Linked DNA regions of Lytechinus pictus. The protein of the gene in region 1 interacts with the protein of each later gene in a pairwise test. Links are inferred from orthologs where the notes say so. Each region holds a gene or a part of one and is shown on either strand. Other genes may lie near its edges.

Evidence for each region. The genes of interacting proteins can lie anywhere in the genome.
Region 2: the proteins of serine/threonine-protein phosphatase 4 catalytic subunit (region 1) and immunoglobulin-binding protein 1-like interact in binary tests that used the Caenorhabditis elegans proteins (3 or more experiments, as listed by UniProt). The link is inferred for Lytechinus pictus from reciprocal best matches to the Caenorhabditis elegans genes pph-4.1 and ppfr-4.

Annotation. Positions count from the first base shown.
Region 1 is NC_087246.1:5,138,170-5,141,929, forward strand, and holds the start of serine/threonine-protein phosphatase 4 catalytic subunit, read left to right. Parts: upstream 1-1,385; 5' UTR 1,386-1,733; intron 1,734-3,760. UniProt on the Caenorhabditis elegans protein: Protein phosphatase which plays an essential role in meiosis and in early embryonic mitosis.
Region 2 is NC_087247.1:81,320,294-81,324,053, reverse strand, and holds the start of immunoglobulin-binding protein 1-like, read left to right. Parts: upstream 1-1,592; 5' UTR 1,593-1,659; intron 1,660-3,760. UniProt on the Caenorhabditis elegans protein: Probable regulatory subunit of serine/threonine-protein phosphatase PP4 which may play a role in meiosis and embryonic mitosis.

The sequences.
Region 1 (3,760 bases):
TTAAGATGTCATAACTTTCTTATTTTACATCCGATTTTGAAATTGTCAGTGTAGGCTCCTTGGATTTTTATTCAAATCAACTTTTTGTTGGAGTGGATTTGTCCGATAGGCCCCCGGATAGGCCTAATGATTAAGTTGTAGCATCGATCGCGGTCGGCACGTTAGGATCTTGACTTCCCGTTACCCCGGCCCGTGACATCAGCTAGAAACCAAGCCCGTATCGTACGGGTTCGATTGGACCCTAAACATTTCAAAAGCAAGAGAAACAGGGGAGGGAACTCAACTAGAAGGGATCATCGAACCTCTCTTTATTGAAACCCTGCATAGCTATATAAGGGCCTACATGGACCCGCGGGGCAGGAGGGGGGGGGGGGCGGCTGTACACATGCGTGACCAAATTATTAGCAAACATCCCCAAACGATTTTTTTTCTCTGTGTGCAAAATAACCACCTGAACAAGTTTAATTTTCGCGGGCTTTATTTACACATGTTGGCCCCTATAAAAGTTGTCGCCAGAATATGACCCCGGGGAAAAGTTTAAACGCGTTTTTTTTTGGTCACGCATGTGTAAAGCAATATACTTGACCCCGGGGGGGTGGGGGGGGGGGGGGCTGGAAACCTAACACAGCTGCCAAGTGCCAACTACGAGTAGTAGGCTATCTGGTGGAGGCCGGTTGCTCTAATTTTGCAGTGTGGTATCCCAAACAACATTGCATCATGCATCCCGGATTGTATCGCATAGAACGTTCGGGGCGCTTGATTTCATGCCAGCAGCTGAGCATCTGAAGTATGCAAGTCGGAATGCCATTCCCAAACAAATCCAATAGTCCCGTGTTTCATCATTGTCCGTCGATTACATATTAATGTCAATTCCAAGCCAAATTAAACACTTAGTAGGGCCATTTGATATCTCCAATGAATAAGTTATCTCTGTTTTTAAACTGAAAAATTTCCTCTTATAATTCCAAGCATGTTATCCCACTATGATTTTACATAATCGCGAACTCCGGCTCCGATGATATCCGGATGATTTACATTATGTACAACAAATTACCAGTAATATCTTACAAGTACAAGTAGTATTCCTTGACCTTTTATGATATTATAGCGCACGCGCGAAACAGTCGTACGTTCACGTAATTAGTCTATAGTATCAGTGTACTTGTAATATAAACATGATTTTATTCTACTCATGATGAATTATTCTATGAGTAAACACCACATATATATAAAATATCATGTCAAATAAATATTTTTATCAGAAATGTTAACATGATACTTATTTGTCTTCTAAAACTTGTCACAATAAAACTGATTGACAGGGGCCATGGAACGGTTTTCAAAGTAGGGGGGGGGGGGCTGAACCAAAAAGAGGGGGGCTGACCATGCAAAAAATCACAATCATATGGTAATTTTTACGTTTTTGTACACGGTTTTGGAAAAAAGTGGGGGGGGGGGGGCTGAAGCGGGGCTGAAGCCCCCCCGCTTCCGCGGCCCCTGATTAATTGGGTTTGTTTTCTAGAACTACACGTCATATTATACCGGCATTATACCAAAGATTAGGCGATTCGAACAAGTATATGCGAGCACATCCGACCGCTATCCTTACGTTTTTTACCAAGCCGAGCCATTTGGATACACTAGCGCAAGGCAGAAGCCGACACTATACAGTGGTGGATGGCACGCACGGAACCGCTGGCGAATAGGGACTCCGCACACCTTATTTTTGAAAGGTAATATTTATGTAATTAAGTTATTATTTTATATAAGATTCTGTACATGATGTTCTATGTATTTTGATGGTGAAGATGAGCCATGATTTCGACCGGTGAAATAACATACCTTGGTCTTACCGGTACTTAAATTTATGATGAGTCTCCGTACGTACCGTACCCTGTCGCGCCTCTGGCGCTGGCGAGGGGAACCGGCAGAGCCAGAGGCAAGCATTAAGCGCTAAGCAGTTGTCGCTTCCCGCTGCCGTTCGCACTGCACTCGCACTGGCACGGTACGGTACTGTATGGTTGGAACTACCCCTTATCGACCACCTAATTTTCTAAGCATTGTATCTGTGTAAATGTTTATCAGTTTTTAGTTTTACCTAGTTTTCGTGGCGCTGTTTTAATTTCGTCTCATTTGTGCACAAAATTGAGCAGATCATTGGCATTGCAGATTCTCATGTTTCGATCGGCGACTGCGATTCAATTTGCGTATTCTCAACTCTCGGAGTCTAGATCTAAATCGGCGAACAACGAATATACCCAGTTGTTGTGTGTCCGGACAGGTTGTGTGTCCGGACGATCAATTTTAGAAAGTCATTTGGAAAAATTTACAAGCGAAGTTTCGTAATTTTTTAGTACAAAATGTTAGGAAATATTATAAAGAACAAAATAGAAGATGAATACAAGTATTGAATTCATATTTTTAGTGTAATACAAAGACAAAAAAGAAGGCTTCAAAAATATAAAGTGTCCGGACACCCGACCCCCCATCCTACGACGATTTCACATTTGCTCATTTGCACCTACATGTACCTCAGAATTGATGTTCGTGCAGGCTCCACTTCACTACTGAGTACTGGGCAATTCCATAAAATATGTACATCCGACCCCCAATATATGGGACCTTCATTAAATTTTCTGTCTCTGATTTCTACTTCTTTTGACAGTCTGTAATTTTCTCAAACTTAGGAATAGGATCATGACTTGGTCAGTTTATAAAGTGACGTAAGACTTGAAAAAATTGGGGGTCGGATGTACAAATAGGTTGATCATTTTAAGGAATTGCCCTTCTGGTACACTACGCTCCACCTACGTACCAGGCCTACCCGAAGGCCGAACATCAAGGTGGTGAACTCGCTCTGATACTCCCGAGTGGCAAAGGTTGGAAAAAAATGCATATTTATTGTAAAAATTATACAACGAAAAGGCATCAAAAAAGAATAAAAGCTTAATTTCTTACTTTACACCCTAATTTCACTCCATATCCATCCTCCGGTTAGCCTAAAAATTTGTGATTTAGCGCCAACATGGAGTTCCTCACACATATAAATAATTTGCTGCCGATTTCAAAACATCGCATGTGCGATGGTCCGAGCTCAGACCCTCTTTTTCTCCTTTTCCCAGTTTTTTTTTTTTTTTTTGGGGGGGGCAGCTGATTGGGTGTGCCCCTCCCCCCCGTAGTTACGCCACTGTCTCCAATATTCAGAGACTTCTGTAAAGAATATTTTCATAAACATTTTCATCATCATTTCTCCTTTAACAAAAATAAATAAGAGATAAAGGATGAGGGAAGGAATAGAATTTTAAAGAACGGAAAAGACAAAAAAAATCATAGCAAATCAACGTATGTTCCATGATCGCGTTCCAGAAATAGTTGATATGGATTGGAAAGTTGAAACAGGATGTCAAACTGCTCTCAGCTGCTACTATACTGGTAAAATTTATATTCCGAATTTGAAATGTTTTTTTCCATTGTCAATATTTTCTGAAAATAAGTTTAATCTAGTCAATTACTGAAAATGAAATGATAAATTATCAGTTCCGTCTTGTTCTTAAGATCAAAGCCAAGTGATTTCACAACACTAAAATACACAGTACAGTCCCATGTAGGCCTACTTATTTTCATGTTGGAAATGTATTAGAAGTCATGTAATGTCAGTCTTTTAGGACCAAGAATGGACTGATATTTTATCTTTTTAGAGTAATCGATTGACCAGATTAAACCCCTGTTTAGAAAATATTGACTTTCTAAAACATTTCAT
Region 2 (3,760 bases), on another chromosome or scaffold:
AGAGTTAGCTATGTTTAAAGTATGAAAATTGTTGTCAAAATTGCAGTCAGATGTAAAAATTATTCTCGTCATCAAAGCACTATTATCTTGATCATGACCATTATTATTTACTGTCATTATCATCATATGATTACAACACATTACCAATACATAATGCTATTTTTCATAACTGATGTATTCTTTGTTTGAATTTCTTGATAATGGTGACAATTACAATTGATGACACTGCTAGTACACTTACTACTGCTGCTGCTACTTTTACTGGTGATTGGTAGTATTGACCATTAGTGTTATTAAATATATATAAAAAAAAAACAATTGAAACATTTATAATTACTTATTTAAAACAAATGAGAGTACAAAATACAAAATGCCTTGAAAAAGCCTTGAAAATGCCTTGAAATTTCAAGGCTCAAAATCCTCAAAGCCAAGGCTTTGAATAAGTAGCTAGGCATTAAGGCGCCTTAAGGCCAAGGCCGAGCATCAAGGCACTACAACACTGATTAGTACTAGGCATTAATTAGACAGGTCCAGATTTGAGGTAAAGTTAATGCGCTAGCCTAAGCTAGTCCTACCCTATCACATGTCTTGCCATTAATGGCAGCTAGTTTATTAAGTGTTTAAGAATTGGATATATATATATATATATAGATCTAAGCATATAAGACCTATGTAACTATGTAAGGGTACCGGTAATTTGACGATGCTAATTCATTCTGAGCAACGTGAATGCTTACGATCGGCACTGGTCGAGGCCAAGTCCACTGCGCATGCGTACTCTCAATCCGAAGACGCAAGTCATGAATATTCATATGTTGGTCCAGAACTCGGTGGGAAAAATAATTTCGCTGGCCGGCCCCGAGCTAGAGATGGCAGTGTTCAACATGGCCACCTCCTGCTGCAATGCCCCACAACTTTCAGAAATTTTTGAAGAATCGAGGAAAGTACAGAAGGAGTTAGAACATTCATCAGGACCATCAAACAGTCAAAGCTATCAGGTTGGGTTTCCCATGATTCTTTCAACTGTTGGTCGAATGTGAAAAACCAGTTAACGGTACCGGTAGGCTTAACGTTAGGCTTAACGTTAACGTTAGATCTTTTTATTTAGACTAATTAGTTTGCCCGAACGTTATCTTGCCAGTCCCATCCATTGTTTTTCTCGTAAAAATAGCCGTAACGTTAACTTAGTCATCTTATTCTTAGTTTTTCTGACTTTTTTTTTTTTGGGGGGGGGGGTACCGTATGGGCACTAGTAGTATTCAACTCTGCATAATTCAAAGATTTTGACATATTCCCCAAAATATTTAGAAATAGGTTAGGGAATTTATCTTAATTTCATATTTCCAGCAGTCTAGAATCCAGGCATGCCAGGCCCAGGGTAATCTGTTGTGTTGTTTGATTAATTCCCTGTGAGTGTTTGGTCTCATCTCAAATGGTCTAGTCCATAGACGGATGGGACAAGGGCAGATTGAGAGACAGGGCCATCTTTCATCGCTAGGTTGAATACTAGTGTAGTGCCGACGGATTGAATACTAGTGCCAAAAACCGTCGCCGTATAATTCAATCGCCCACGCACACATTCAACTGATTGAAGAAAAAAATAACGGAAAAAGAATAACCAGCATTTGCTCTTGGAAATAAGATGGGTCTGAAATTCAGGTAAATTCTATATTTCTATATATTTGAGGAAACTCTCCAAACGGGTTGAATACTAAATTACTACTAGTAGTGCCCTTACGAGTTACGGTAGGATGGGGGATCGGGTGTCCGGACACTTTATATTTTTGAAGCCTTCTTTTTTGTCTTTGGATTACACTAAAAATATGAATTCAATAGTTATAATCATCTTCGATTTTGTTCTCTCTAATATTTCCTAACATTTTGTATGATGGGGGGACCTAAAGCTACGCACTTTGTTTCCAAATGATAAAAACTATGCCAATTGTAATATTTGAACAATTATTTTTCACTAATTTGTAATAAATATTCTAAATATCCTTAACCAAGAAGAAAATATCACAAAACTCACTAATACGAAAATCCCGCCGTGTTTTCCGAACACCTCTTAATTTCGCCGCCCGATGTAGAAGGGGTCCTAAAGCTACGCACTCAATTTATCATGCAAAGAAATAGTATTTCCTGTGCCTCAATTTCTAAAATATGTCCGTATTATTATAGGAAAATATGAAATCAAAGTGAATATAACTCCGAAATTCCAAACATTTGCTGGTTTTCTCTGCATTCAAGGATTTATTGCAGCCTCTGTAGAAAAATTGAATAGGGATCGTTCGTCACAGCTTCACACACAGAGCTAGAGTGCGCATTTATTTTGCCATTGGAATTGCATGCGCGATGAGTGGTGCGTAGCTTTAGGACCCGCGTAGCTTTAGGACCCCCAACCATACTAAAAATTGATGAAACTTCGCTTGTAAATTTTTCCAAATTACTTTCTAAAATTGATCGTCCGGACACACAACCTGTCCGGACACACAACAACTGGGTATACAGTAGTTTGAGGCACATTGTTTAAAAATTCACCATCTACTTTTGTTTTGATAAGTTCAAGTTCAAGCTCTTCATAGGACGATCTCGGTTGGAACTTAGGACTCAGTCATAGGAGCAGATTTTTTAGTCAAAGAGTAATTTCTGACTGGAACAAACTGCCTACAGAAGTAGTGGAGGCAAAATCAGTGGAAATGATTAAACATCTGTTGGATAAATTCTGGTGGGGGGAAAGATTTAAAACCTCCATTTCTCAACGCACGTAAAGTTTCACAAGTTTAAACTGTTTAGACCATCAATTACCAAAGTAAAGATCGGAAAATCTACAGGAGACGTCCTTCATTTCCGTACCTGATGTGATGTGATGTGATGAAGGATTTTTGTTGTCATCCACACACAAAACAAATGGGCTTCTGACCTCAGTGAGACAAAATTTTGGGTGGAAAAAATTACAATTTTGTTGGTGTTTCTTTTGTTCTTTTGCGAAGCAAGTCTCTAATATGGGATATTGTCTCCCCTATTGGAGAGAGTCTCCCATATTGGCCGTGCGCCTCTACTGGTTGGCTCCAGTCACCAAATACAGAGACCGAACTAAGTTCTACTTCTAGCTCGATCCACACACGTACATGACGTATTGCGAGGTTGTACCTCGCACCATGAACCGCGTTTGGCAGTGGATTTCTAACTAGTGGGTTGCGCGTGCTGGGATCTCACTTCTGGAGTCCACAACACACGACTTCAATGGCTTGATTTTTCTGTACGCGGCAGCATGAAATGAACCCTGGGGGGAGCTCGATCTGCACTCACACATGCATGCGAGGTCACTCACACGTATGGTAGGGGGCACTCACACATGTTGCGAGGTTATTATCAGTATACTACTAACCTCGCACTGCGAACCGCGTTTGGCAGTGGATTTCTAACTAGTGAGAGTAGTGGATCGCACGTGCTGCGGATCCCACTTCTGGTGTCCACAACACATGACTTCTATGGCTTGATTTTTCTGTGCACGGCGGCATGTAATAAACCCTGGCCTTGGCTTGGGCACTCATTCAATGAACAAGATTATGATATAATCTCAATTCAATTCAATTCAATTTGCATTTATTTCATTCTCGATAAAAACAATTATAAAGCAAGGTATGAGAAACAATATATTTACAAGCAAGAGTAAAAATGAAAATGAAATGGGGAACTGCATAAATAAAGCCAAGTGGCCTTGTGTAAGCGCAGTTCCCAAAACATTAATAACATGACA